Oreochromis niloticus: one gene and its partner. The protein of the gene in region 1 interacts with the protein of each later gene in a pairwise test. Links are inferred from orthologs where the notes say so. Each region holds a gene or a part of one and is shown in the gene's direction. Other genes may lie near its edges.

What was found.
Region 2: the proteins of N-chimaerin (region 1) and hemk1 interact in binary tests that used the Homo sapiens proteins (3 or more experiments, as listed by UniProt). The two-hybrid records come from large-scale screens. The link is inferred for Oreochromis niloticus from reciprocal best matches to the Homo sapiens genes CHN1 and HEMK1.

Annotation. Positions count from the first base shown.
Region 1 is NC_031986.2:15,942,441-15,958,586, forward strand, and holds the start of N-chimaerin, read left to right. Parts: upstream 1-9,608; 5' UTR 9,609-9,866; intron 9,867-9,876; exon of another isoform or gene 9,877-10,068; intron 10,069-10,205; 5' UTR 10,206-10,278; coding exon 10,279-10,297; intron 10,298-14,468; coding exon 14,469-14,507; intron 14,508-14,624; coding exon 14,625-14,680; intron 14,681-16,146. Other genes in the region: uncharacterized protein LOC109196774, read right to left, coding at 7,560-8,207, 8,299-8,581, 8,667-8,758. UniProt on the Homo sapiens protein: GTPase-activating protein for p21-rac and a phorbol ester receptor. Involved in the assembly of neuronal locomotor circuits as a direct effector of EPHA4 in axon guidance.
Region 2 is NC_031970.2:17,676,382-17,692,201, forward strand, and holds the start of hemk1 (MTRF1L release factor glutamine methyltransferase), read left to right. Parts: upstream 1-9,910; 5' UTR 9,911-10,116; coding exon 10,117-10,182; intron 10,183-10,358; exon of another isoform or gene 10,359-10,545; intron 10,546-11,600; coding exon 11,601-11,774; intron 11,775-11,860; coding exon 11,861-11,952; intron 11,953-12,033; coding exon 12,034-12,127; intron 12,128-12,227; coding exon 12,228-12,365; intron 12,366-15,820. Other genes in the region: zmynd10 (zinc finger MYND domain-containing protein 10), read right to left, coding at 1-64; GATOR1 complex protein NPRL2, read right to left, coding at 2,703-2,770, 2,860-3,002, 3,116-3,233, 3,324-3,417, 3,867-3,903, 5,039-5,136, 5,448-5,584, 8,263-8,371 and 3 more. UniProt on the Homo sapiens protein: N5-glutamine methyltransferase responsible for the methylation of the glutamine residue in the universally conserved GGQ motif of the mitochondrial translation release factors MTRF1, MTRF1L, MRPL58/ICT1 and MTRFR.

The DNA of each region.
Region 1 (16,146 bases):
TTTTTAAGTGAGAAGTCTGACATTACATAATCTGTGTAAGCTTGCACAATGGGAAATGTCAGTCGGCTGTGAAACAGGTCTGGCAATCAGCAGTTTGGTTAAAATTTCAACGCCAAATAAGATGCAAGAAGCTGGAAGTCTGTGCACAGACTGATGAGTGTGCTGGTTTAAAAAAAAAAAAAAAGCTAAATTATTGAGAAAATTCAATTCAATTTTATTTATATAGCGCCAAATCACAACAAAAGTCGCCTCAAGGCGCTTTATATTGTATAGTAGATTGTACAATAATAAATACAGAGAAAAACCCATCATATGACCCCCTATGAGCAAGCACTTTGGCGACAGTGGGAAGGAAAAACTCCCTTTTAACAGGAAGAAACCTCCAGCAGAACCAGGCTCAGGGAGGGGCGGGGCCATCTGCTGCGACTGGTTGGGGTGAGAGAAGGAAAACAGGATGAAAGACATGCTGTGGAAGAGAGACAGAGATTAATAACAGATATGATTCGATGCAGAGAGGTCTATTAACACATAGTGAGTGAGAAAGGTGACTGGAAAGGAAAAACTCAATGCATCATGGGAATCCCCGGCAGCCTACGTCTATTGCAGCATAACTAAGGGAGGATTCAGGGTCACCTGGTCCAGCCCTAACTATATGCTTTACCAAAAAGGAAAGTTTTAAGCCTAATCTTGAAAGTAGAGATAGTGTCTGTCTCCCGAATCCAAACTGGAAGCTAGTTCCACAGAAGAGGGGCCTGAAAACTGAAGGCTCTCCCTCCCATTCTACTTTTAAATACTGTAGGAACAGCAAGTAGGCCTGCAGAGCGAGGGCGAAGTGCTCTAATAGGGTGATATGGTACTACAAGGTCATTAAGATAAGATGGGGCCTGATTATTTAAGACCTTGTATGTGAGGAGCAAGATTTTGAATTCAATTCTGGATTTAACAGGAAGCCAATGAAGGGAAGCCAAAACAGGAGAAATATGATCTCTCTTTCTAGTCCCTGTCAGGGCTCTTGCTGCAGCATTTTGGATTAGCTGAAGACTTTTCAGCGAGTTTTTAGGACATCCTGATAATAAAGAATCACAGTAGTCCAGCCTGGAAGTAATAAATGCATGAACTAGTTTTTCAGCGTCACTCTGAGACAGGATATTTCTAATTTTAGAGATGTTGCGCAAATGGAAGAAAGCAGTCTTACATATTTGTATAATATGTGCGCTGAAGGACATGTCCTGGTCAAAAATGACTCTAAGGTTCCTCACAGCGTTACTGGAGGCCAAGGTAATGCCATCCAGAGTAAGAATCTGCTTAGATACCATATTTCTAAGATTTTCAGGGCCGAGTACAATAACCTCAGTTTTATCTGAATTAAGAAGCAGAAAGTTAGCGGCCATCCAGCTCTTTATGTCTTTAAGACATTCCTGCAGGTTAACTAATTGATGTGTGTTATCTGGCTTCATGGATAGATAGAGCTGCGTGTCATCTGCATAGCAGTGAAAATTTATGCTATGTCTTCTAATGATGCTGCCTAGGGGAAGCATGTATAATGTAAACAGAATTGGTCCTAGCACCGAACCCTGTGGAACACCATAATTGATCTTAGTGTGTGAAGAGGACTCTCCATTTACATGTACAAATTGGAGTCTATTAGATAGATATGATACAAACCACTGCAGTGCAGTACCTGTAACACCTACAGCATGTTCTAATCGCTCTAATAGGATATTATGATCAACAGTATCAAACGCAGCACTAAGGTCTAGCAGGACAAGCACAGAGATGAGTCCACTGTCAGAGGCCATAAGAAGATCATTTGTAACCTTCACTAAAGCTGTTTCTGTGCTGTGATGAGCTCTGAAACCTGACTGAAACTCTTCAAATAAGAAAAGGAGCAGCAGAAACTGTGCTGTGAAAAAGGATCAGTGGCCACAAGATGAAACTAACTTAAAGGGATGTGATGGGCATACTGTGTGACATAATGGGTTTCACAGCTGCACTGCTAGGCTAATGAAGGGAACTTTGCAGTCATATTTCCATCAGTTTCCGTAATTAAACAGCACTGTGTCAAGGCCACTGTAGAGAGAAAGTAACACGGTAGAGCTGGGGTAATATTCTCAGAAAAACTCTGAATAATACAAACATTTACAAATAGTCAGAAAAATTGTGTTTTTGTCAAGGACCCACTTGCCTCACCTCATAAGGTTGGATCAGCATAGTCATAACACAATCATTTTATCATAATGTCATTTATAAAAATTTAGAATATGCCGGAAAAAAAACTGTTACACATTCCTTGAGATGTCTGTGGAAATCGTTAAATGTCTTTGTTTGACAAACAGTCCCAAACCTGAAAATATTAATGTAAGTACTGCCCACACAAATTTAAAAGATTAAATAGCACATAATCTCTCGCCTCAGTTACTTTATCCTATCACAGATATATCAGGATATTACAGATATCCTGCTAGTGGCATATAACACATATGTCCAATACCAGAGATAGCAAGAGAGCGATATGGCCCTCAAAGATCCATAAAAAAGGATTTTTAAAACCTTAGTTGGGGGATAATGTCAGCAAACAAAACTACACAAGTAGTTTTGATGTTCTGTGGTAACTTAAATGAAAGCTCATTTAGATAGTGCTTCAAAGTAACCGCCAAAATAATGGCCCAGAGGCGTTAATAAGATGCCCACGTACCAGACTTGCTCATAGAAGGACTTTGCCAAGCCCTGCTGATATGAACTCTTTTTTTTATGATGTGGAAAAAACTACTAGGGGTAATTTTGTGTCGTCATATAGTTTGTTCACTAACAAACATGCCGCAAAATGGCTCTAACCCCACTGCCAGCACTGTCTGCAGCACACCACCTCACCAGCATTCAGCCTGCTACAGTGCAGTCCTGGGATCCCTTTCACAGGTGATTTAGCCCCACTCTAACCTTGAATCATATGACCTGAATAGCAGACATGATGGTAGGGTGGGACTAATGCTGAGTCCCAGATCAAGTCGGAAGTCAAAATTTCTGAGTTCCCAGTTTAATCTGGAATGCCCCCTTAACTTGAATTTCCTACTCAGAAAGTCAAAGCAACCCCAACAATCAAGAATGAACAATACAAGATGGCAGCAGTTAATGTACAAGCAGTAAAACTGTAAAATTTTTAATCTGGACTGCCACCGTTGTATATTCATGACTCGCTAAACAAGCCATATGCAAAGCACTGAGTAGGCTCTATCCGTGCGTGTGCCACAGCTGTGTTTTTAAGTTACAACAAACAAATATGCTGTATCGCTAGTCATACATGAATGGCTCTACAATGCTAAAAACAAAAACAAATCCTGATTTTCTTGCTTTTCTGACTTTACTATTGGAACACACTAGCTAGGGAGTGAAGTCATTCTAGACTTCCAACTTCCAAGGTTATTGGAACATAGCTAAAATCTCCAAAATTCTTATTTAGACTGTAACCCATTCCAAAGCGGTTCATTTATGGTGTGAATGTGATCAGACCGCAATCAGAATTAAATACCAGGTATACGTTGTAAGTTTGAGCTACAGAAAAATTTCCCATAGCCACGTATGCTTTGCATTCTGGGATGCAGTAAGGTACTATAGAAGTGCAAAGGTATGTATAGGCTAGCAACTAGCAGTCAAATGAAAACTTAAATTCTACAGGTTCTCCAATAGGCCACAACACAGGACCCTTTTCCTGCATTTACTTTTGTTGCTCCCCTCTCTGGACACATCTGGCCAATAACATTCTCATCTGGTTTGTAGGGATGCATTTTAGTTCACTTGGATTTTTCTCTGTGTAAAAAGAAGTCAAATCACAGGGAAAAACTACAAGTTTGCAAACTCATCAACTGATTTGAATCAGAGTAAAAGAACCATTTGATGTGAAAACTAGGGGTTACATACCAGGGACTCTCCATAGGTTGTTATAGAACTAAAGAAGCGTCTTTCTTTCAAGAGGCTTCTTTACTTTGGTATGTGAACATGAAAACATGTTCACATACCAAAAGAACTCTATTTGCCTTCTTTCCAAGTACTTGAGACTAAAGCTCTAGTGGTGAATATTTTTGAATTATGTCCTACTTAGCTGTTCTCATACCACTGTACCAGGGGTTTACTTGGATCAGAAGAGGTGAAGTAATAACCTCCAACTTCAATGTTAAAATGATCGAATTTACAGAATTACAAGCAACATAAATCTTTCACAAAAACTGTAAGGGTGATATTGTTAAAAATGAGTTATCCATCTAGGATACTAGAGTTAAGAGTGACAGGTGCCCATGAAACCAAACTGGAGTCACTGATCACTGATACTTCTCCATCATGTCTGGAGCTCTTTTTTTTTAATGACTGACAAATATTTGACAAATGACATGGCTTTTTGTGTGTTACCGCCAGTTCATGAAGTCTGCGCATCAGTGTTGGTTAGATCTGATGCTTAACAGATATCGTGTCTGTATTACATGCCCTTAAAATCTACAGATGCATCTTGATAACAAAGCTATTTAGAGCTAGCTGTTAATTCAGTTCCAAAAAGCTCCAAATAACTAGCATTGGGAACATTGTTGAGGCTTAAAAAGCAGTGCCTGATGTTATGTTGCTATGTCCATCTTTTGGTGACTACACATGCACGCAACTATCAGTCAGTAGGTCAGTCAGAGGGTGCATACCGAGCATTGCTTTGTGCAGAAAAAAATCCCTGTGTGCTCTGGTGAGGGCATCCTGAGTAGCGACATATGGTGGGAAGGTGTGGAAACAGCTAAGCAAGTGGATCTTGCTTCCAGATTATGTCCCATATATTTACACCCACCCCACCCCCAACCCCCAAAACTCACACAATAAAACTAATACAAAAGGCTCCACACCAATTGAATACAATCAAACATGCACTCAGCCAATGAACACTAAAGGGGACCCATTACCTGACAGTGTTGTTTGTTGTGTACATTTTCACTCTGTGTATTCTACATGAGTCGAGTGAAAAATGACACCCAAGCCGACAAGCATTGGCAAGGGTGAGATCAAGGCTATGTCACAGCGAGCCCGCTACACCTGCGCTCCTTGACAGATCAGTGGCTGGGCTTGACTCCACCAAGGTGACACCATCCACCTGCTGAGCCATTAAGCTGCTCTACTGCCCTCAGGGGAGCTTGTAGTGTGTGGGTGTGTGTGGGCAAGAAATGGAGTGCAACATCAACACCACGTGGCAATCAAAACCATGTCATACTGATCGCAAAACCAAATAGGCAGCATTTCCACCTGAGCACCCAACCATTGTTGATCATGGGTGCTGACCCTGTGACCTCACGCTGAAAGACGGAGGGGATCCAAGAAGAGTATGTGTCTCTCAGAAATCAATAAAGGGAGGGGATTTGTTTGCCAGCTGATTGTGACACCTCAAAGGTGCACACTGTGAAAGGGGGGGGGGGGGTGTCTCTGAGAACACCAAAGATCAAGGAGCAGCTTTGTTAGGCGCACACACACAACAGCACAGAGTACAGTTGGCAAAGAGAGAGCCCTACAATGTGGGTTAGCAGAGTAATCCTTTAGCCCAGGGCAAAGATGTCAGTAGGCCAAGGCAACCTGCTCACAGTCCAGGGACTGAGCTGGTGTGTGCATGTGTGTGTGGCATTATTAATACAAAATACTGGAATTACTAATAAAGTGGAAAATATTCAAGATTAAAGTGTCAAAACTATAATAATCTTGAAGTTTATGTAGCAGTAATCACAGGAGCATATCCTTGTCTATCTTTAAGCTTACAGTAACAGAAGCTCTGCTGGACCTCCTAAAGCTCAGCCGATTAGGAAAACGAACAGACTGGTGGCTGCAATCGAAGCGAGCTTAGACTTAAGATATCGGACTCATCGCGCTTAACGCGCTGTTGCATTTTAAAAAAAAGCCACGACTCCTATTCCTAGAAACTGGTCTACATAATGCAGTAAAGCTGTCTGAATCTGCACCTACTGTGCGAGGAATACGAGAAACACTGCGTTTAAGCTCGCTTCACAATCCGGATGGCACGGTTTCCTTACCCCCCCCTCTTCCTCCAGGATCCACTGAATGTGCGTCCGTGAGAGCTTTTTATGTCCAACGCAGATGGTAAAATCCACGCTGTAAGTTTTGAACGCGGTGGTCCTCTTGCTCGCAGCTGAACCGCTCCCTCTCAGGTGGGACGTGGTTTGTCCGCGGCAGCCATTCAGACAAATGTGGGAAGCCGCGCACTGAGCTTTCTACTGGAACAATAAAGAGCAACACACACCGCCTCCAGCGCTCCGTGCGCCCCGGCACTGGTGGTGGTGGTGTCAGGGAAAGAAAGTGCAACTTGGGCGGCTCAGCAGCGCCATCGCACGGCCTGAGGAGGGTGTTGGCCATTGGTTTGTTTCTCACAATGAGCACTTTACAGCCTATTTAACTTAGTAGAGATTCAAATTATTCAGGTATAATGCCCCAGAAAGCAGACTATATCAGAATTATGAACAATAATGGCTATTTTATAGATATAATAGGAGTAAAGTAAACGTTGCTTAGATTAAAACGTTTGAATTTAGTATCAATATTGATGATAATACAAAATTACAGTGCATTATAAAGATAAAGTAATGTAGCCCTTATACATGCATGTTTGTGATTACATTTTTATTCTTATGTTTTGCTGCTAACACGTTTGGATGTTTACCTGAAAGTGTTACTAATATTACTTATTATTTATTTACTTTATTATTATATTTTTTTTTAGATAATTATTCCTTGTAATTAAGTATTTTGTGTTTATACAACGGCATATTAGCGCCAACGAAGGTAGGAAATAAATAGGAGGGGGAAAGAAAAAAACACACACACATTAAAGTGGCAAATTTATGAGAAAAGGGTAAAATCTTCAAGATCAAAGTACAAAATTTTTAATAAAAAGAGGAAATTACAGAATTACACCACTACTAGTAAGGACTACAGCACAATGGACAACTTCGTATCAATTTTTCACTTTAATCTGAGAATTTTTTACAACTTAATGTCGAAATTTTTGAGTTTTTTCTACCATTTCACATAATAGTGATGGTTTACGTTCCTTGTCCTTTTTTTATTAGGTTGAAAAAAATTATTTGTTATAATTACAGTTTTTTCTGATTGCTTAAGCACATTTTTTGTAACTATTGGCTATTTTTGCAAAACTCTACACACAAATAAGAAAACCTGTCACCCAATTATCAAAACATTGTAGTTCTCTTGCAAAAGCGAACACAGCTAGATTAACTCTTCACACCTTCGTAAAAATGGTGTTTTCGTATCAAACAGTACACACAAGCCATCATCTACTAAGCACACAATGCGCCAACTGCACACTGATGGTATGAATACAAAACACATCTGGCTTTTGCATTCTCTGAGTACAGATGTCAATTTGAGGTCACACTTTTGTCATAGTGTCATGTAAACATACAAGGATCCAAACTTCAAGTATTGGTGTTTATTCACACTCATCAAAACCAAGACAAAGTCAGAACACAAAATAGGAATTTCACAAAAAAAAGGAAAAAAAAAAAAGACAATCAGCCTACATCATGTCGTCTTTCTGGGTCCGGCCACAAAATTTCGTCCACATCGCATGCCATATCCTCCAGTCCAAGGCACCGGGGAAAATATCTCCTTGAATGCCGTATCCAGGCCTGACATGATGCCTGGTCAATATCTCCACATGCCTCCTCCATTGCCTGTAAAAGGGCTACCTGTTGATGAGGATGACGGTCGTACACTTTCCAGCGCCAGGCAGAGAAGAACTCCTCAATGGGATTTAAGAATGGAGAGTATGGAGGGAGGTTGAGTGCCATGAAGGATGGGTGGTCTGTAAACCAGTTGCGGACCAAAGCAGCCCTATGGAAACTAACATTGTCCCATATGATGACATATCGGGTCTGCTCTGGTCTCTGAACAGTGAGCATGTCATGCAAGGTGTCCAGGAATGCAATAATGTGTGCAGTGTTGTATGGGCCTATGGTTGCATGATGGTGAACAACACCATTTTGGCTTATAGCTGCACACATGGTTATGTTACCACCACGTTGTCCTGGGACATTGATGATGGCACGGTGTCCAATAATGTTCCTGCCACGTCTCCTGGTTTTACTGAGGTTAAAACCGGCCTCATCCACAAAAAGTAGCTCATGTCCCATTGCATCTGCTTCTAGTTCCATCACTCTCTGGACAAGACAAAACAAATGCAACACATCAGGCCCATGCACAGCACTACAGTATGCACTTCCAAATTCAGAACCAATGACACTAGCTTACCTGCACATAGTCATATCGCAGTTGCTTTACACGTTCTGTGTTTCTCTCGAAAGGAACTCTGTAAATTTGCTTCATTCTTATTCTGTGGCGCGCAAGTACACGACTTAGTGCAGAAATGCTTGCACTGTGTATATTTTGAAAGATGGTGTCATTATCAATTATGCGCTGCTGTATTTCGCGCAGTCTTATTGCATTATTGGCAATCACCATGTTCACTATATGGGTCTCTTGCTCTGGAGTGAACATGCTTCCTCTGCCCCCAACATCTGGACGTCTAGCAATTCTGTAAAGTAACAATTTCAGTATTTTTGCATGTATGGTACTGTTGTGTTTCTCATTAGAGTATGGCAGTGCTACAAAGTACTTACCGATTCTCATTTCGAAATGTCCTAATGATGCCTGCCACAGTGTAGCGGCTCAGTTTAGGCTGAACCCGTTGGCCAGCTTCCCTCAGGGTCATCCCATGGTTGATGACATGGTCCACTATTGTAGCTCTGATGTCATCAGTTATTCTGTTTCTTACTCTTCTTACCCTTCCTCTTTCCCCTCCTCGTCCTCTTCTTGCTCCTCCACGTCCTCTTCCTCCAACTTCTTCACCTCCACGTCCTCTTCCTCCAACTTCTTCACCTCCACGTCCTCTCCCTCAGCCTCCTCTGATTTTCACTCTTCTCACTCTTGCTGCTCCTTCCATTGTACTCCACATAGACAGCTTACCTGTTTATAGTGCTTAGGCTGATTGCAAAGTGGACTAATTATCTAAAACAGTTTTCACATGTGAAAGTGTGCCAGACAGTTGGCAAAATAGTGTTAATGATAGCCATACATGTGTATAATTTTGCTAGGAGTGTGTTGGAAATTTGGTAATTGAGTGTAAGCAGTGAGTTGTGTTTACAGTTCTGCAAAAAGAGTGTTGTGCAGTGAATTGTGCCTACAGTTTTGCAAAGTGTGTGTTACAAAATGGCAAACTGAGTGCAAAGCAGTGTTTGTGCTTTTAGTTTTGCAAACTCAGTGAGTGGTTTTGCTATAAGTATTAATAGTTTTAGAAATTGTGCTATAAGAATCACAGTTAGGGTTTAAGCATTCAGAAAAAAACTGTAAAATCAAATGGGTTTTTTCGAAAAACAAAAACAAAAAGACTGAACTGGCCCGTACGGGGATCGAACCCGCGACCTTGGCGTTATTAGCACCACGCTCTAACCAACTGAGCTAACCGGCCACGACACTGACGGGCAGAACAAATGTTTTTATACTTGTACTATATGTACTGCTCACGAAAGCTGTATAAACTGGTTGAACAAGCTCACCGACATTCTTGTGGTCGGTTTTCTCTTTCACCTTTTGCACTTGTCGCATTCCACGACAACCGATAAAAGCAAATACTAATTCTACGAGGCGAAAAGAAAACCTCAGCCTCACGTCTTTCTTTGCTACGAAGCAGCATCAGCAAGGTCTGTTACCATAGTTACGAGAGAGCGAGAGAGCCACAGAGAGAGAGAAAGCGAGAGGGAGAGAGGGTGAGACTGATCACGTGACCCAGCAAGATGGCGTCTATAATGTAGAATGGGGATGTGAGTACCACGTCTTATTGGCTAACCTTTAGGCTACTAAAACCAGCGCATGTTCTCACATTGTTGGGAGCCGTATTTGTTGCACTTTTATTTTACTACGAAGCAAATGCTTTTTCTTCACAGTGTAACTTTAAAAGAAAAGGGTCCACCAGCGCCGCCCTATCCTCCAGGACAGCCTACCAACTAAAGTGAATCCGCTAACGTTAGCTTTCTTATATATCGTGGTTATCAGTTATTGTGGCTGATTACTCAGCTGGTTTTACTCTGACCCTGGTAGCTCACCTCCAGCTGCGGCTGCACTCTCTCACCTTGTTCCGCTTGTGTCCTCTTCTCTTTCAGGATTTAAACTGAGAGGGTGGAAATTTGGATCTGCTGCCTAATTGTTCATCATCATTATTATCTTAGAATCAAGATGGCTCTAAATGTCTTTGGTAAGCAGCATCTCACAGTACACGATTGTCACCGGAATGTCTTATGGATTTATGAGTGGTGTGTTAATTTGTTTATGATTAACTTCCAATCTATTGTTTAAAACTGTTGTTTAAAAATGAAAAGAGGCCAGTCGTCGTATTCACAGAAGTTTCAAATAGTAGACATGATTTAATGAAGAAAAATCCAGATCCTTTAAATAAGGAAAACTAGTATTGCATTATTGCTGATGTGCTCCTGGTACCGGTAATAAACAGTCTAGATGTGAAGGCTAGCTCTAAATATAGATAGTATATTAATGATATCATAGCCAAAAGTGGCTCAGTTTGTAGTTATAATTCTTTATAGCGTCTCTCATGGACTCCAGGACACTTTGTTTTTAATTATGGTTTTTTTGTTTGTTTGTTTGTTTACTTTTTTTTAACAAGCTGTACTGTCTACCAGCTTTTGCAATCAAAAGTATGATCTGAATGCATTGTTGTGCAAAATATATTTTGCTTTTCCAAGACAAGCTCTGTAAATTCTCTATAGGCTTCTCATGTTCGTCTTTCTCGTTTTCTTTTTTTCTTTTTATTTATTCATTTTTATTATGACTCACAGAATATATGCAATATAAATATGTCAAATCTGACAGGCAGCAAAAAAAAAAGAAAGGGGGAGAAAATAGGAGAAGATATAATAAAAGGACAGGACACAAGAAGAAAAGCGCAATGGGTCGCCACCTGCTGCACCTGTAAGAACAATGGTTTGTTAATACAGATCCTGTACTTAGCAAAATAGCAATGCATCAGTGTAGATATGTATTCCCATTATAAGTAAAATTTCCTTCAAAAGTAAAAGTCATTGTTCAGTGGTTTTATATATATATTTATAACTGCAATATATATATATATATTTTATCATTATTGCTGATGTGCCCCTGTTAGCTGTAATAAACAGCCAAGCTCTCAGTGTTGTAGCTAGCTCTACATATTGATAGTATTTTAATGATATGATATATAATATCATAGCCATCAGTGGTTTCACTTTATTTTATTTTATTTTTCGTTCCTTTCAGGACATCACACACTCTGCTAACAGCCCCGTATTTGAAATGTGACTTTGTTAAGAGGTCATAAGCCTTTAATCTTTAGCAACCCATTGTATTTTAAAGTTTGCTTTTTTAATGTAAATATATGAGACAATTTACTGTAACCCTTATTTTCTGAGTGTAGCAAAGGGCCAAGTGTTTCATACGTGTGTAATGAAAAAGGAAAAGTACCCATTTGTTGTTGCAGATGCTGGGAGTGTGAACAGTCTGTGTGTTTTGTCTGGGTTCTTGTTAGTTTGTGTATCTTTGAGCCTGTGTTGCCTCAAGAAATGGAGGGTGAGACGATTGCCCGGGGAGGATTTGGAGTTATTTTGAAGACAGGATACCGAGACGACAAGTGTTGAATAGATAAGGCTTGTAGAGTGGCCTCTGTACACAAGGACAGGAAGCGGACTGTTAGTTTTACCCATGCAAAGAAGACGGAATACATTTCTGAATTTGCCAGATGCTGACAAAAATATATTTTCGAGACCTGGGTTAAAGAGGACCTTTTGTGCTGATTTCCAGTTTTATATTTCTGGTCTTGGATTCACTAAAGTAGCTTTGCATGGTCTACTGTTTAAAATAAGCTTTATTTATCTTATAATTTGCCTTCACACAGGCCCTGAACAGCTATCTAAAACTCTCCACTTTCTGCTGATTGGCTTTGTTCAAAAACAGCAGGTATCTCCTCTCGCTGACATCACACATCAGCCGAAAAACTCAAACACTGTGTTCAGAGCAGTCCAAAGCCTGAGTCTTTGGCTCACAGGGATTACTGTGCACATACTGACCTCATAATTTAAACTCTGTAGCAGCTGTAACTGTATATATGTGACACAAAATAGGGGTCCACTTTAAGTATTTTAATTTAGTTTTTCAGATGTTCAGTGTAGGATTTCTTAATTATTTTCACATACTATATTTTTTATATGTTTGTTTCCACTCTTTTTGTACATAAAATCTGATTGACTGTTCAAAGCAGTATGTGGAATATTACCTGCTATACTGCAGAAGTTCTTTGATATAAGACAGTTTTGCTGAGCAAATGAGAAAACTACTTTTCTCTGAGTGCTTTGAAACAAAGCTAACTAAGTTAAGCATTACTAACTATGGAATCATCAAAAGCAAGATTTAGATAGCACTGTGAAAATGACAATTTATAAATCACATCTCACATTTCACAGCATGAGTCAGATGAGCTGTATCTTTAATGATTTGTATACAATGGCCAGTAGCTCAGTTGAAAATTACTATGCTTATTTTGTTTGTCTTGCTTTTGAGTTGTCTGTATGTTTTTGTGCTTGTGTGTAAATGTATAGTTACATTTACATGTATGCATATAGGCATTCTGCTACTGTAAATAACCTTATAAAATATTTATTTGTAGAAAGTGTAGGTTCGTAAGATTTTCTTCTTCCTGCATCTCTTTGTTCGCCTTGGTGTATGTGAGGATGTTTTTATAGGCTAACTCAAGCCAGACACAAGGACAGGACTGAAAATGAGTGAAGAAGCAGCCAGTGTCCAAAGGAAAACTTTGAAAAAGCTTCAGAAATCCTGGAGAACCAGATGAAAAGATGAGGAGTAACTCAAAACTTTTGCTCAGTGCTGTGAATACGCACAAAATGCCAAACTCAGAGCAGAATAAGATATAAACAAAGCAAATAGAAACTGCAGTATAATGAAGTATCAAAAAGCAAGACATCATTCATTGCGACTACGTGACTGATTCTTCTCTAAAAACCTGTTTTATGCTTTACGGCAGCGGTCCCCAACCTTTTTTGCGCCACGGACCGGTTTATGCCCGACAATATTTTCACGGACCGGCAATGAGGTGTCGCGGATGAATACAACAAAATAAAACTAGTGCCGGTACCGAAAAAAAGAAGATTTATTCATAACACACGTGAAAAGACCCAGGAAAACCGAGTTAACGATAAAAACGATAACAAAATAACGTTGAAAACCGATAAAAACCCTGAAAACCATACATTTCACACCTGAGCCTCAACTCTCGCGGCCCGGTACCAAACGACTCACGGACCGGTACCGGTCCGAGGCCCGGGGGTTGGGGACCGCTGCTTTACGGCACTTAAAGGAACAAACAAACAGCATGTCGTAGTGACTGATGACGCCTTTGTCATGCTTATGTAACAAGACTCACTTTGTCCCAGTACAAGTGGAAGTGTTAAATCTCATTTCTGTTGGGAATTGAGGTCATTGCAGCAACAACACATGCAATAGATGTAAAGTGCAGAATTTAAATGTGTACCTTGGGATTTTACAGGCGCCACAATGGGTGTCTTTGAGTAGAAATGCTCAGCAGCTCCTCAAGAGTTCACCCAGACTCCAAACCAGCGCCTGGGGCCAAAAGTGTTTCGGTTTTAATCACATTCGCTAATACTACTGTCAGTGTTGTTTATGGTCTGTTACAACCGAATAAAACTACAGGGGAACGCTGCCACAATGTTGATATCCATTTACAATTAATTTCACACGGGTCGGCCTGAGGAAGGGAGGGGGGCTGACAGTAAAAGCTAGTGTGAGTGTAACAAAGATAAACACTGCACAGCTCATTTAAAAGCAACCACGGCATAAATGAATCTTTCACAGCATTTTATGCTCCACGGAGTAGATTTATTCATTAAGCCACTTAGTCACCATTTATGCTCTGTGTGGTTTCTGCTGTGGAAAAAGACTTAATCCATCAATCTGATGTCCCAAGGTAATTGCATACAGACTAGAAAATAAAGCAGTCATGCTGTCAGTGTTGGAGTGTAGATTTCTGTGTTTGTTTGGCTTGTTTGCTTCAGCAGTTTCAAGGCTTAGCTTTGAAATTCATGTGAGTGCCCTAAAATCGTAATGCTCTTCCCTGATGTGATTGTAAAACATTTTATTTTTGTCTGTACGTTAGGCTTCCCCTTTCTTTATGCTGGTCTAATGTCAAAGAGATGATGAATTGATCAATATATCCGCATTCTGATGCAGTCGTATGTTTAATGGATTAAAATTAAAATTTAGACAGCTGTTGCGTCACTGTCATGTTTTCTCCACATGGGGGTGCTGCTTCAAAGGAATTAAATGAGAGCTTTCTGTGTCCTCAGATCATGATGAATACAGGCCACCAGTGTGGAAATCCTACTGTAAGTATCAATATACCTTTTGTTTTTTGTTTTTTTCAAACATTCCTAAATATTTTGTCCTCTTTGTTTTCAATGATTGTTTCATGATTTTATAACATGGCCTGTTTTCTGTCACAGTGTATCAGCTCCAGCAGGAGGCACCTCACCCACGCAGAGTCACCTGCACCTCTGAGGTGAGAGCACATGTCCTAATTATCAGCCAGCACATTCTAGCACGTCTCATATTTTGAAATCCGCTTTTTATCTGTGTGATGTTGCAGTGAAAAAACATTAATAGATCTACTAGATAGACACGAGGCTTTGCTCAAGTTCTTATCCTCATTGAACTAGTCTTCAAATGCAAAAATAGTTTCTCTTCTCTAACATGTTTTCCACGGTCAGCTCAACAAGACTGTCACACTTGGACCAAAGTTGTCAATTTTATTGCATTTTTCACTTGCAGTATTTTGTGGTGATGTTTCTCAATCCCTTTATCTGGATAAACCTTTGCTTCTTTAAAAGTTAAAGTTTATGCAAGTGAGATTTTGAATGTTAATATAGCAGCAGAAAATCTAGTCAATCTAGTCAAAGTCAGTGTATGCTACAATGTGAGTGTTGGATATAGGTTGCTCTAGTTGTAGTGGTGTTCTTCATGCAGCTGATGGGATAGCACTTAACTAAAACAGGCTTCCGATAAATGACATACTACATGGACTTAATTATGGGCCCAGCCTTTGGCTCTTAGGACACCTGGGGGGGAATTTAGCAATGAGCTGGGCTGCAGTCCACTGGAAGCAGCTGAGCTCCAACGCGACATCTAGTGGTTCTGCATGTATATAGCATGTGAAGCGGGTGATGAAGTCTACATGTGTACTTGTTGTACTTGCTCTTACTTCAGAAAACTGCTTCTTTCCATGATTTGGTAAGAATCCTCTGTTCTGTTAAAAGTTTTAGAGAGTATGGGCATGTGCCATAATGGATTTTTCAAGTGAAATCTACTGAAATCGTGCAAAGGACTTCAGCTATAAGTTTGAGACCCCTTTACCCTGAATCTCTAGCATCAGCATAGTTTCTGTTCTTGGTTTTTCATGACAGTTGAGTGTGATAATAACCAACAACAGAAACCTTATTGGTGTAGATCAAGTCTGGAGTAAGCATGTTTGTCTCCTCGATGAGACTGCTGACTCGGCTTGTACCAAGGCTGATTGTTTTTTCTGCCGCACTTCACCTCTCCGTTGTTTTCAGGGGCGACATTTGTCAAGCTGTCTTTAATCTAAAGATGTTAGCCGGCACTATATCATGCCCTTATTATGTTTAGCTTTGGTATTATTAAGGCAATCTAACAGGATTTTTCACACTCTGTCCCTGCTGTACTCAAAGCTGTTCTGCTTCGTTAGCAGAGGAACAGGCATAACAGGATAGATGGGAGAGATCAGAAATGATGTTGTGCTAAAGGTCACACGCTACACTAATCCAGAGCTACACAAAGGACGTGAAAAAACCTCTTAGCGTCATGTTCCAGCTGATCCTCATCCTCTGAAAATGCAGGCTTGGTGCTTCATTTGTTAAAGTAGTAAGGAAATATCCAGTTATTCCCACAAACGAATTCACTTGTAACAGCTTTATTTAATTATTACAGCAAACTGAAGTGTTTATGTCT
Region 2 (15,820 bases), on another chromosome or scaffold:
GCTTGAGTAGACCTGTTCGTACTGTTAACGAAGTACGAACAACACTGTTTCTGGTAGTTGTCATGGTTACGGAAAACCAAGGGAACGGTGCAGGTTGTGTTTCCCGCCATAGAGGGGCAGCAGAACCTCAAACAAATACACATTTGCAAAGAGGAAGTGGAGAAAATAGAAACAAGCCATGTACATTTTCTTTCTGGCAAAACCTTAAAAAAATCAGTTATGTCAATAAAAATAATCCAAGGTGAGTTATTGTGAAATATGACAGCATCAGCAAAGCGCCAGAAAGCATTTTTCCTTCTGCAGACATCATATTAATTAAACTCAGTAAATTATAACTAAAACAACATAAACAAAATATTCCTAAAGAGGGTCCTAGTAATATCAAGATACTAGACCTGCAGAAGATAGTCTGCTCATAGGCTGAGGAGGATTTTATCCATTAAATGAACCATTACACTCTCACACCCCAAGGTTCAAGGTTCAAGGTGGACTCGACCAGGATGGTAATAATAAAACTAAAATGAATGGATAACAAGAAAATGCTGAACAAACAAAAGAATAAAAAGTAATACAAAATACAAAACTATGACAACCAGCTTATTGTATATTAACCTGATCACCAGCTTCACCCTGTTACAACTGGTTTCAAAGTTTTTAGAGTAGCTAGTTCCTTTTTAATGGATGTCTTCATCAGACTCCAGTGATTTTCTTTTTGGTGACTCGAAGTTTCCCCTGTTGCTCATACTCCAGAGTATGCAGCAAAAGAGAGACAGCCTAACCTGCAGGTGACTCATGATGATGACTTTCCTGCTTTTTTCCTCACAGTCCTTGGATGAAAGTTAGTCTTTACTAAAACTGTCTGTCCTTCAGGGCTGAATTTTATTTAATAAAATAAAAAAATAAAAATGTGTAGCAGTCGCACCTGTCTACAATGTCTTCATGGCAAAAGTCAATCAGACCATATTATTTGGATTAAATCATTCATGTTGTTGGTCAAAACAAATTATTTTACGTATAATGTATTCTAGTTCGTACATATCAGAAAGTTGTTAAATCACCAATTAGGTAGACCCTGTTAGTACTGGTTTGGACCCTCTTTTGCCTTCAAAACTGCTTTCATGTCATTTGCACTAAAATCTGATCCTCTGTTGCAGCAGAAATTGAGATCAGACCAGGCAACATTATTCCAATCTTCTGTTGTCCAAATTTTGGTGAGCCTGTGTAAATTGTAGCCTCAGGTTCTTGTTCTTAGCTAATAGGAGTGGCACCCGATGCTTTGTCTTCTGCTGCTGTAGGCCATATACTTCAAGATTTGGCATGTTGTGCTTTCATTAATGCTTCTCTGAATACCTTGGTTGTACTGACTGGTTATTTGAGTTACTGTAGCCCTCTTATCAGCTCAAAGCTGTCTGGCCATTTTCTTCTTACCTCTGGGATTAGTAAGGCCTTTCTGCACAGAGAAGTACCGCTCACTGAATATTTTCTCTTTTTTGGGACCATTCCCTGTAAACACTAGAGATGGTTGTGTAGGAAAATCCCAGTAAATCAGCAGTTTCTGAAATATTCAGACCAGCAACAACCATGATACATTCAAAGTCACTTAAGTCACCTTTCTTCCCCAATCTGATGCTTGCTGTGAACTTTGGCAGGTCTACAAAAGTCTCAGTACAAGTCTGCAATTAGTTGCTGCCACGTGATTAGCTAATTAGATATTTGTGTGATCTTATTAGCAGCTGAACCGGTGTGCTTCTTAAGGTGAGTGTATATGGTAGTGTAAAAAGTACTTGCAAACATGAAATTCAAGTCATCCTGTTAAATAAAAGTACATGAAATTATTATTAAAAACTTATTGATGGCGGGTGTAATTTCAAAGCATTTTATTTCATATATTTTCTTCACAGTCTGATAACATCAGACTGTACACCTGCTTGTTCCAGGGCTTCACTCCCAAGATTAATTTTACTGCCGCTAAGTTACATTAAAAAGTCTTTACTATTTTGTAAGCAGTTATAAATAATATGCTTCATCACCTACTAATCTGAAGGTCAGTGATTCTTCCATTCGACATATTTAAATATCCTTGGGTAAAACAATGAACCCAAACTGCCCCTGATCTGTGTGTGAATGGGTGGATGTATCTTGCAGTAAGAAACGCTCTCAGTGCTTCCGTTAGAGCAGAAATGCAGCATATAAATTAAAGTACAAATTCAAATACATGCCAGTGTGTTTCAGTTATGTTTTTTGCATTCCAACAAATTATAGCAACAGTTTTATATATATAATGCTAATAATATTGCATTAACTAACTGCAAAGGGATCTTCAACCCTCCAGGAATGGGAAGAATCAGCTAAAGGGTATGTGGCAGTGCAATCTGTTTTTATGTTGGAATGTTATTTGTGCAGTAAAAATGAGATGAATTTGGGGTTATAAGTAGAGTCAAAGCAATAAAGATAGTAAAATATGTATGAAGTATGAAACCTACATAAATACATATTTTTAGCCTTTTTTCCATTTAATGAATGGATTGTATAGCCACATAATGAGTTTGATATCCAATGTTTCAAGTTTGTTTTTTTTAACAAAACTAAGCTAAGAAAACTGCAAAATGCTACTCATTATTTTCTCAGTTAATTGAAGAAACCTCCTTCTCTTGTTCAAGGCATCTTTGGCTGCTTAGGCACTGCTGTACCCTTCTGCCCCATCACTTCCAGCACACGACAATATTGGGATCGTTTTCCAAACGTTCGTCAAGCTCCTGGTAAGTAATCCCTGTAAAATCAGGATATTGTAAGCACACTTGTTTCACACCATCAGTTCTTAAGTTTTGTCCAACAATCAAAGAAGGCTTCAAACCCTGCCTGTTTTGCAGCAGATCTCATCGTAACTATGACAACCGGTATAGAGTCGAGGAGGCCTGCTTCTCTCATCGCGGATCACCTTCACGGGATACTTCTGCAGCCGTCGAATAAGACACTTCATTAGTCCAAACTGGATCAGCCTCCTGAGGAGAAACAAGTGACGTGACACACATACAGTATGAGCCAGTGCCACTCTGACCTGAATTCATAGGAGCGCTAAGTCTTTTCAGGAACTGATAATTTGAGCGACGCTAACCTCTCGTCGACCCTTTGAAGCTGCTGTGAGTAGCGTGAGCAAAGGTCTCGCACTGTTGTTCCCGGACTTAGCCCACAATACAGCTGGAACACATCTCTTAGACTCGCGCGTTTCTGACCTGACAGTGACAGGGCAAAGCTGCACAGTTAACGTCACAAAATAAATGAAGATTAACACTTGTGTTTTAATGGACATGACCCCAACTAACCCTGCTTAGTGACGTAGTTAAGGCACTCCTCCTGAATGGACTTGTCATCTATGAGGCTCTGGACTTTTGGGGTGGTGCAGTACACATTAGAGTACTAGAGAAAGACAAGAAGGCAACCAGAACAAGTCATCAGGAAGTATTAGCCACTTTTAAATAACTTTAATTTTTTCACAGCAGAATATCAGAAAACTAGAGCCTTCCCTCACTTAAAAAACCTGCCCTAACATTTTGTATTCAAAGTGGCGCATAGAGAGCAATGTGCAGTATATAAATTGACTTTCTTTTGAAATACATGAACCCATTTATCAGAATGGCCTTCAGAACTGATGCTTGCTTTACGGTTATTATTTCTGCACAAAAAGATCCACTTTCACAAAAACAGAAAAAAAAAAAAAACATTTCCAGAATAAAGAAGGAATAATATGAAAAAAAATTACAACTTTTCAATTAAAACTAACATCCCGCAGACGGCCCTAATGGTCCCTGATAAACTGTTCCACTACACTCATATATGTGTGATGTGATGTGAGATTAGTTTAATACCTGGAAAATTGACACCAGAGTCACAACACCATAGTACCTGTGAAGTTAAAAAGAGAAGTAATTACATCTTTTTGAAGTGTATTTTGACTACAGAGTGAAAATGCAAGTACACCCCCTCATTCGGTAGCTTGAAAAACCACCTTTAGCTGCAATAACTTCAGCTTATCGTTGCCTCTATGACTTTATCAGTCTCTCGCGTCATTGTGTTATAATGTTTCCATTCACTGAGGTTTGTGGGCATTTATTTATGCACAGCTCTCTGAAGGTCCCACAACAGCACTTCAATCAGGTTTGGACTTTGACTGGTGATTGCAACATCCTGATTCTTTTATTTTTCAGTCATTCTGTTGCAGATTTGCTGCTGTGCTTTGGATCATTGTCCTGTCAGATAACCCAGTTTTGGCCAAGCTTTACAGTAGCTTTGGGACAGATGGCCTCACATTTGAGTCTGGAATATTTTGGGATACACAGGAGTTCATGGTTGACTCAATGACTGCAAGGTCACCAGATTCTGTGGCTGCAAAGTCCAAAACATCACCCCTCTACCACTGTGCTTGACAGCTGGTGTGAGGTGTTTGTGCTGATATGCCGTGTTTGGTTTTTGCCAAACAGCGCTGTGCATTCTGGTTAAATGTCAACACTTTTGGTCTCATCTTTCTAAAGGACATTGTTTCAGAAGTCTTGTGGTTTGTTCAGATCCAACTTTGCAAACCTACACTGTGCCGCCATGTTCTTTTTACAGAGAAGAAGCTACCTCCTGGCAGTCCTTCCAAACAAGCCATACTTCTTCAGTCTTTTTCTAATTGTGCTGTCACGAACTTTAACATGCCAACTGAGCTCTTGTGTGTGTGTGTGTGTGTGTGTGTGTGTGTGTGTGTGTGTGTGTGTGTGTGTGTGTGTTTAAGGTTTCTCTGAGTACTGTACGGCCTGACCTTGAAGTGAATCTGCTGGGATGTTAACCTACAAGAGGTCCTGGGAAGATTGTGGGATTGTGTTAGCACCCACCTGAATGGTCCAGAGCAGGAAACTATTAAAACTTCTGCATTTACAGAGGTGTTCACACTTGGTTTATCAGTTAATCAAAACAACGACATAAAACAGAGTTCTGTGATGAAGCAGTACGTGTGTGAGGTTACTGAAGAGTACAACTGTATTTGCTGAAAAATACTTACAGGAGATTCTGCACTGCGATACGAACAAGATTCAGCTCAACGTCTGCTTCAGCAGAAATTTTCTGGATGTGTCTAAATCCATCGATGTAGGGAAGAATCTGCAGTTAGCAGCAAATAGATAAGGGTTAGAGGCACGTAGTGCTATTTGCATTACTGGTTAACTAAATGCTGTAAACATGTTAACTTATAAAAGCAATAAAACAGTATTGTACCAATAAAGAGCATCTTGTCTTGCACTAATGCCTTCTTTCAAATCATAAAACAAAGGATATAAAAACGTGCTTATATCACTTCCAGCACAGCTGATAACAAGTGTTTAAACACTGATCTTTCTTCCAAGCACTTCTTAGAGTGCTATCAAATACCTCTCAAGAGCTGCAGCCAGAGGTTGTTGACATTGAAAGCCTACCTGTTGAGTGGTGAGATCCCACTGAGACTTGATAAAATGATCTTTGCACTGGGTAAAGACTGGCACGTCGTACTCCTGAACTATTGGGGGGTCTTTTCGCAGCTGGATCAGCTTTAGATGAATGGTGTTAGACTCATCTTAAAAAGGATACAACAAACAAGAGTAAGAGCGGTTTAAAAAAAAATCGTTTGATGACATCTGTTGCTGCCAACCAACATGTGAATACTGCCTATGTGCAGCTGGTAAATTCTTAAAATAAAATTTGACTCAGAAACATCAGCCTGCATTTCCCATCTCTGAATTTCTAAAAAGAGTAACAGTCAGAGCAAAGCTGCTTGCATAGTGGCACTGCTTTGTCTTGACTTACATTAACTAATCAATCCAAACAACCACATAATTTCACTTTGGACCATAGCCCAGGCAGCATGTTGGTTGGCTGATAAGGGCTTATCAGAGATATTGGAAAACTTGTTGTTAGGGAACATAATGCATAACAAAGCTCTCCTCAGTGGAAAGTGTGTGCTGTCCTACTGCCTGGATGTCTGCCACGCAGGGGCAACTACTAAAACCAGGAAGGCTATGCAGAAGGTAATTAATACTGCCCCCAAAATAAGTGGCTGCTCTCTGCCACTCCTGGAGATCCTCTTGTCTCAGGAAAACAAGGGCCATCACAGGTGACCCTTTGTGTCCCGCCACCCCTGTTTGACCCGCTGCCCTCTGGTCGGAACCTCCAGTAAATCAGGTCCCCCACCTCCAGACAAACAGTTTCTTCCCCTGGGTCATTCGGACTGTTGACAAACACAACCCCACCCCTGCCCTCCCACCCACCAACCAACCAACCAATCTGAGCCATGGCCTGAGTAAGCCTCATCAGCTTTTATCTTGTCCTGTATATATTTCTCCTGCTTGTTATTTATTCCTACTGTCTTACTATTTCTATTCTATTCCGGCACAGTTGGTGTGGATGACTCACAATTTAGTTGTACATGTATAATGAACATAATGGGCTATTCTATTCTATCCTATTCTATTCTAGATGCTTGAGTTCATTTAGAAATGCTGTAATGACATGATTTGTCTAGTAGAGCAGCTGCAGCTCTATAGTTTATGATCCTTTCAGTATGATCTGCAGCACAGTAACAGAGCACATGCCACAGTATTACTAAGTACATGGACATTATTACAGTTTTGGGCTTTTAAAGATTTCTCTGAGCTTTTCTTTTTCTAGGGTGGAATGGACATACAGCAGGCATCCTTAATGTACTTAAAAAATGCATGTTGTATTTACTCTAGTTATTGTCTAATATTAATATGTATTTGATGGAGTACCAAAAGGTTGATTCTGTTCATCTGGATGTAGCGTTTTTAATGGGAAAAACGTTTCGTCACTCATCTAAGTGACTTCTTCAGTCTCAGCTGACTGCAGGTTTCCCCAACCTTATAAACAGTACATTTGCACAATAACTGAAACCAGCCCACTGAATGAACAATGGGCTTGAGGTCAGTTCCTTGATCATTAATATGCAAATTGCCCATTGATCAACAACCACTGATCAAAGCCCATTGATCAAAGACCTGCGGTCAGCTGAGACTGAAGAAGTCACTTGGATGAATGACGAAACATTTCTTCCATTGAAAACGCTACATCCAGATGAACAGAATCAACCTTTTGGGATTTACTTACCTGGATGATTGAGCATGCATCAAGACATATTTGATGGAGTAATCAACTTTACCCGGATAACAGCTTTAAGTCTCTGCAGCGTCTGTATGTACTGATTTTTAATTACACAACATCATATTTGCGTTAATCTAGCTATAAAAGTAGACGGTAGGAGGTCGAAGCACATTTGAACTTTGGACCTCCACAGCCTGAAACCCACAGACTGTACAGGATTCAGTTATAAACGCTGTGTACATTTTGTATTTACTCAGGTCTTTAGTCTTTGTCTACAATTAAAATTTATTTTATGATCTAAAACATGTAAATGTGACAAATCAGGAAGGGAGCAAGTACTTTTTTACAGTACTGTAGCTCAGTCTTGGTCTCATCTGTCGATAAAACCTTTCTCCAGAAGGCATTTGGCTTATCTGTGTGGGCAGCTGTCAACTATGGAGCAGGGGTTTCTTTCTTGGTCGGCACCTATTTATGGCTGCTTTGAGCCTTGGTGGTTCCTGGGCTGTTCCTGAAAATCCTAACCAATTTCCTCTCATGTGATGTTGACAATCTTCCAGACTTCAGCAGAGTGTTGACACATCAGAATACATTGTACTTACATGTAGTTGTTTAAACAGATTATCTTGGAATCTGCAGTCAAACTTGTGGAAGGGAAATCTATAATTTCCCTTCCTATACCCATTGTTCTGAGTATTAGCCAATCTAATGGGTGATGTCAAACAAGCGTTTTTATGCTGGAAAAGAGAAAGTACCAGGAAAATCATGTAAAACGTGTAAATCATGATCACTAACAAGAAGTTAGTCTCGGAGAGTTAAAAGACATTGTAGAAACTTCAGCACCACTTATTAAAAGATTTAAGTGAATGTGTATATTTGAGTCTGTATGTATACTTCTGACCCTGTGTGGATTAGAGAAAATCCAAAATAAATTCTAATTCTTGTTTTTTTTAAGTCATTAAAGATTTAAAATAATTCCACCCCGGAAAAAAGAACAGTTCAACGAAACAGTCCAAAATTACCATGACATTCATGCCCATGATGAATGTGTGTAAACGTGTGACCACAGCTATATATTAAAAAGATATACTGCTCCTTGCCACAGATAAAACTTATAGCCAGTAAGATGCCAAATAATACCAATGGGTAGGCTGCAGGCTCCTGTGGCATTAAGATCCTCTAACAAAGTCGACATAATGGGTAAAAGCTTCTGTTTGCTCTCCTCATTGGATATAAAGCCGCTCTCCAGCTGCAACACAACAAGACAGAAAATCTCTAAGAAATCATCCTGAAGAAAGCGATCACATGAACATGTGAAAATATGATACTCTTTACCTCCAGAGTTGTAAGGTACCCAGATAGCTTCTTAACAATAGGCTCCAGGCCGCAAGTATTGGTCTGGGCATCGCAAACAAGGCCGAGGTTAAACAGGAGGGCATTTCGGCTATATTTCTTATGTTCGATGCACACGGGGCAGCCAATTAACTTTTTTCCCATTGCAGTGCTATGATTAAAAAAAGAGAGATTGGTTTATTAAGTTAATACACTATTATTTAAATACTAAGGACTTCAAACAAGGCAGGGAGACAGACGAGCAGGATAAGACTACATACACTGTTATTAATTTGTTTTGTAGCTCTGGCTTGGTGATGATATAAACCTGAACGGTGTCAAAGAGCTCCCGTGAGATGTACTCTTCTGGAACCTGTTAGGACACAGTATGACAAACTATACCCAATAAGATACATGAGCTCAGACGGATTATGCAGAGTACACGTCAATGCCAAATTACTATGAAGGATTAAATACCTGCCTCACACGTTTAAAACACACCCAGGGCACGAACAAGCTCGCAACTGGGGCAGTTATAAAGACAATCATAACGACAGTGGATATATAAAAAAAATAAAATAAAATAAAACTACTTTACCAGACCATCTGCACACTTACCTGATATGTTATCTTGGGTCCCAGAGTAGGGTGAAACTCACTGAAAAATATACACTCTATTCGAGTGGGCATGCCCATCATAGATTTTATCCTCATGGAGAACTAATCCAGAGGTGTGTAAACCCTGCTGAGCCCTATCAACTTGCCCCAAATTGCGTTAACAAGGTATCTCCTGTGTGTTTCCTCTGGGTCTTCCCAGTTTATTTACAGCAGCATGAGCTAGCATGTAGCTTTAACGTTTAAAAACAAGCTAGCGACGTCCTTCGGTACTTAAAAGCAGGTCTAAAGTTAAAAGACGCCCTATAAAATCTGTTATTAATGTATTAAGCAGAGGTTATGGTCACCCAGGCATCAAACTATTCAATAACTCGACACATCAATGCATGCAAAAACCAGACAGGGAAGAACAACAATAATATCGCGTTCAGGGACACCCAGTAACTTAGCCCTGGAATAAAAACTGCCGTTGCAAAAACTGTAAAGGCAACAATAAGACAGAGGAAGTCGTATGTATGTAGCACCAATAATGTTTTAAAATTAATATAAAAGTAACACGAACTCTGTTGTCGTATAAAAACGCTTTAAAGTATTGGGCCCCGAACAATTGCACAACACTAAGGAAATTTTCTCTTTTAGACAATTTAAAGGTTTCGAATAGTAGTATTTACCAAATGTAATACTACTTTTATTACTTGCTAATGACTTTTACATTTATAGATGCTATTTTACCATCTTACTTTACAGACTTAACGTCTATGACGGCAATGCTTTATATGTTTTACAGTCCGTGAAAGCAACGTCGTTCAGTAGCGTCAGCGCTGCGCAGACTGCGCCGCAGCCGCTCTCTGTGCCGCGTGCAGGACACATTTCGAGCCCCGCTAGTTAGCTTTCCGACACAGAAAAATGTTTGAATTTCATACAGGGCCGTAAAGTGTAGCATGTTGATCTAACCGACTACTGCCGCCATGCAGCGAGTTCAGCCCGAGAGCGCACAGACTCCGGAAACCCAATGAATAACGATGTAAAGACTTAATACTGTTAACCATGTGGACAAGGTCGCTGAGTACAAGCTACTACAGATGTTTTGGGTGCAGGAGTGGTGGACCAAAGGTAACTGGTCAAGTTATTTTTTTGACTTTTTTTCCCGGAAGTCGACACGTTGCGTCCAACGTGTTGAACAAACAAAAGCATGTCAGTGTCACGGCTTTAAAAACCAACCAACAGTCCAAACCTGTTTCCGTTGCCTTGCTAACTGGAAATATTACTCACATTACAAACTGACGCACCTGTAAGCACAGACCAAGTTACATGACTTTCTTGAACTGTTTATCAGTTGATTTCCATTGACGCAACTGGACCAAATCTGTTTTCTGTTATCTTCTTTTTAATAAAATAAAGTGGCAGGCACACACATTACAGAGGCAGCAGAGCTCAGACTGACTCAAGCCTTTAGGAAACTTCAGGAAAACATTCCTGCTGTTCTCGATAAAGCTTTACAAAAGCTCTCCTGCTTGTTGACAGGTGAACACACCTGTCTGCATTCCTCAGACTTATCAGTATCAAACCTTCCTGCTGCTTGCTGTCTGCTGGATTTGAAATTGTACTTGCTATTTATTGAAGCCGTTTGCACTATTATATGCTAGTATAATTTATTGTTTGCACAATCCCAGCCTTATTTTGTATTTATTTGTCTTTCTTTTGCTTCATTTTTTTTTAAATCACTGTTGCATATAAAATTTTGCACTACTTCACATTATAAGGCCTTTATTATGAGCCTGTGGTACTTTCAAGCAATTTTATTGTAGGTTATAGTTCTTTATGCTCCTGCTATCACATAGTAATTTCCCCTGCAGGATCAGTAAAGTGATGATCAGTAAAGTATCTATCTATCTATCTATCTATCTATCTATCATGACACATATCTTATACCCTATACTAAATAAATACTATATAAGCTTAAATAACTCAAATAAATAAATAAAAGGATTATTGTCCATATACATACAGTAACTAATAATAACAGTTCTCTCTTACTGGATTACATTAAACTGTGTGGAGATGTAGTAATGTAAGTTAACTTGACTTACAGATTCCCTATTAACCCCGCGGTTATAGGGAGGAAGTGAAAATTAATTATGACTTGTCAGTCAGACACATGTTATGAGTAATTGTGAGTGGTGTAAATAAATCATGATGATTTCCAAAGTTGCCGGAAATTCCCCAGAGGAGATGCTGAATGGGAGTCTAACATCAGTGTTAAAAAAACGCAGTTGGTTTCTGGATACTTGGAAATTTTATTTAAACTTTAATGTAACGGGTGCCAGTTTGGCTCCCTGGTTGAGCTGGTGAACATGTGCCATATGGTTCGGAACTCAGCAGCCTGGGTTTGAGTTCAACCCTCAGCCCTTTACTGCGTGCCTTCCCTCGTCCTTTCTCCCTTCTTTCCTTTCTACTCCTCACTGCTTCACTATCAAAATAAAGGCAATAATGCTCGCTATAAAAATAAATCCTAAGTGTAATGCTTTTAGGTACTTTGGAGGTCCCATGCTGTCCGTACATGCAGCGCTCCAGCCTTACCCGCAGGCAGGATTACACCACTTCAGGCGGTGAACTTATGGAAGAGGCACTTTGAGGAGAGAGCTGTGACGGAGCCTGAGCTGTCCAGCCAGTACATCATTGCTCATCTTCTCGGAGCTAAAACTGTAATTTGCTGAATCTACATTGCCTCAGCACTTGCACTGACATGCAGTAAACGTGGATCAAGTTCACATAGCGTTTCTTTATCCAGATAGAAAGTCTTGAGCAGGAGAGATTAACAGAGTTTCTCAGCCGAGAACAAACAGAGCAGATATGGAAGCTCTGCACCAGACGTCTCTCCAGGTGAGTTTGTGCATAGATCTCTCTATATGCATTTAAATGATTTTCAATGAAAATTTTTACATGGTTTCATGTGTGGGTTAGGATGCCCGTGCAGTACGTGATTGAAGAGTGGGACTTCAGGGACCTGACGCTGAAGATGAGGCCTCCTGTGTTCATACCACGACCTGAAACGGAGGTAGAAGAAAAGTCGAGGCAGCGCATGTTCACAGTGAAGACCCAGCGAATGATCACACATAAGCCAAAATGTGATTTTTATTTCGTCTTTGCTGATGCAGGAGTTGGTCGAGCTGGTGCTCAATGATCTGCAGATGAAGACTGAGATGGGCGTGCCTGATAAGATGGAGCCTACGTGCCTGGAAGTGGGATGTGGGTCTGGTGCCATTTCTCTTAGCCTGCTGAAGACACTGCCTCAGGTAGAAATTTGTGTTATAAGTTTTCAGATGAGTGGAATTCCAATAAGGCACACCACAGGAAAAAGGCTGTTTAACTTATTAATGAATTCCCCCTCACTTTGGGTCTTAATACACTGACAATGAGTCAAATTTTTCATTACTCCAGTGAAATTTATGCAGTGTATTGAGGTTTCTCATTGGTTGTGATATAACCACTGGTTGCTAGGGAAAAATGTGTATTCCCCCAACTGGTTCTCAGTTCTTCCTGGAGATTTCTACCCTCACTGGGTGAAATTGGTTGCATGGAAGCGCCAAGTTATTGCTGTGGTTGCTTTAGAGATTGCCGTTGTTGCCCTTCAGGCGTAAAATTTAAATTATATTTTCAAATGAAATAAAATAAGACATATATGAAGTCTAGACTAAGGCATAAAAATGTACCTTTACTCTGTTTTCTTGGAAAGCTTTCTGACATTAAAAGGAGGCAAGTTTTTGTGCTGCTAAATCCAGACGTTATGATAGTGTCGATTTTAATAATTAATATTAATTATAATTCAGTGTTCCACCTAACAACCCTCAGGTCAGTGGATCAGAGTTTAATGGCCCGTGTGCATTTTTATTGGCTTGTGAAAAAAGCTTTCATTTTTATTTTTTTTAAATATTTTTGCAATTTAATTAGCAAAGTATGTGATATTATTGCAGGTATCAAATGCCGTCAGCCTTCAGCACGCTGTATAATTGAACCAGTCTGGTATCAGACTAAGTTAACAGTTCATCTGCATATTGTAATACAACTTCTGGAGGCTTTCTGATTTTGACTGTGTAAAACTTATTGCAAATTCAAGAGTGGAGAATAGATTTATAGTTTGTCACATTAATATAGTGAATCCTGTCCAACACTACTATTGATATCAATAAATATGTTCTTTAGAACGTCCACTGACATTTCTAAGTGTGCTACTGGAAAGCACACAAATGTAAAATTATCCATGCATCCATCCATTTTCCCCTACTTATCCTTGTCAGGATCACGGGGAGGCTGGAGTCTATTCCAGCTGCCATAGGGCGAGAGGTGGGATACACCCTGGACAGGTTGCCAGACTGTCACAGGACTAACACTGGCAACACTAACCATTCCCACTCACATTCACACCTATGAGCAGTTTAGAATCACCAATTAACCTAACCCCACTAACTGCATGTGTTTATATTGTGGGAGAAAACCAGAGTACCCGGAAAGAACCATCCTCGACAGTAGGAGGAAAAATCGTCATCAAAGAAAATGGGCAAAACAGAAGCTCCACTCCCTTTAAAATATACATGTCCACTCTTGCCTGTTTATTTATTCTCTCTCTCTTTTTCTCCCTTTCTCTCCCTCTCAATGCTCCTCTCTGAGACTTTGTGCTGTCACCCAAAAGTTGAATGTAACAGTGAAACAGAGTTTGCAAAGCAATAAAAGGCATAAACTGATCCATGTTTATAACAATATTCAGACTGAATACGGGCTGCTACGGGACATAGACTTCCTTTTGACTTGCTCTCAGTTGGATCTGGAGCTGTAGTGTAGACAAACAATGAAGCGCAGAACAGGAATAGACATCTATAACAAACTAAAATAATAAACTACATCAGCCCCTTTTGCTGGCAGCTAGCGATATACCAGCAGACTAATGGCTCAGAAAGCTAAAATTAGCTAATAATCTTGAGTGATTTAGGCTACATTAGCTAACGTTTTTGACGCTATTTAGAGAACAAATAAAAATAAGCGGACACTTTCTAAGTCACAACATCGCCCCTGCATTATCAGAACAGTTTGCACTTTTGCTATATTTCAGTTAAAGTGTGTTTTAAATCTGCATCACTCATTTGTGTTATGAAATTGCCTCTCCATCTTCTTTCTGCTGCAGCAACGACAGACTTATTTAGTCCTTTAATGACAAACTGCCCTGCTGAGGCAGTAACGCCTCTGTGTGAGCGCACTGTGACATCATGACACCAACAACGCTGGGCAGTTTTAGAGGAGTTAGCAAAATATAGCGTTAGAAGACAATGCCAGAAAATAATATTAAAATGTATTATCATTACTACTATTATTATAGTTATTTTTAGGGATGCTGTGATGAAATATATCTATTGTAGGACTGTTTTTAGTCGCAAATGAGGGGGAAACACTTGCGTTTACATCGTTTAACACATGCTTCAGAGCCAAGCGTTAAATGAAGCATTGAATTATTCGCACTAGTTTATAGACAGGTCTGTCACTACCATTCAAACTATGATCACAGCAACATGCTGTAACACAAAGCGATCACAATGAGTTTTGTGACAACCAGTCAGAGAATACATGTTTTTCCCTAGCAACAGGTGGTTGTCAGGGGGTCAGAGTCCGGTCTTTAGGCATGTGTGGCTGCAGCTTTAACAATTATTTTCCCAGCGACTGCCATCAGCCTTCAGCAACCACTTGCAATCGGTCAGGGTAAACTCATTATTCCTCCATGACCCGGAGGTTGCCAGATGGTCACTGACAGGTCTTTAAGCCTGTGTGACCGGGGCCTTATTCGCTTGATCCTACACTGTCACCATGACAGTCCAAATAAGCTAACAACTGAATGTCTGGCAGTTAGTGGTCATGTCTGCAAAATCTCAAGACCCATATTTTTTTTGTTCCTCATTAACATCTGTCAGATGAGGTTGTGTTTTGAACATCTGTGATTTTGATCAGGATCCTCTTTGCAATCAGTAACGTTGTGTACAGACGTTCATGTTCTCTTCAGGAAGTTGTGACATTTCCTGTAGCACCAAGCATTTTCAAAACTAATCCCATATAACAAGCAAATGTCAGCTTGTTTAGATGCTGAACATGATGCATCAGTTCGAGAAAAATTACAAATTATGAAAAACAACAATGTAAGTTGGTGGGCAGTCATGTGTTATGAGAACAGTTTCAATCCTGGCATTAATTCTCTAAGTTGAATAAATTCCTCTGGAGGAATGGAACACCATGCTCACCTCGGTCAGGTACTGACAGGGGTGAATGTCATGGCCTTATTATACACTCAAACTGCTGTTTGAGCTTTTCGATCCATAGCCATTGGAAAGTGTTGCTCACTACTATTGTCAGCTTAAGTCTAAATAGATGATTGTTACTCTTGCCTTAACCTAACAGTGAGCATAGATACAAAGGCTGCAGCTTTTTATGTGTCATTGAGTTATTCTAAAGAATATTTGACAGTGGATTCTTTAGGCTGAGCTAATTGAGTGTTTTTTCGAGGCTTGTGATGACCGTATGTCAAGTTTCATTTTTTAATGAATTTATTTATTTACTATTAATAGATTATAACAGTGAAGGACCGGACAACCACAGCGTTACAGTTTGTTAAGTGTCTTTTTTATTTACAGAGTTAAGGTGCAGCTTTCCAGCTGCGTCGCTCTGCGCAGCACACACCGCTCTCTCGTCCGGTCCTCCTGAAATAGGGAAG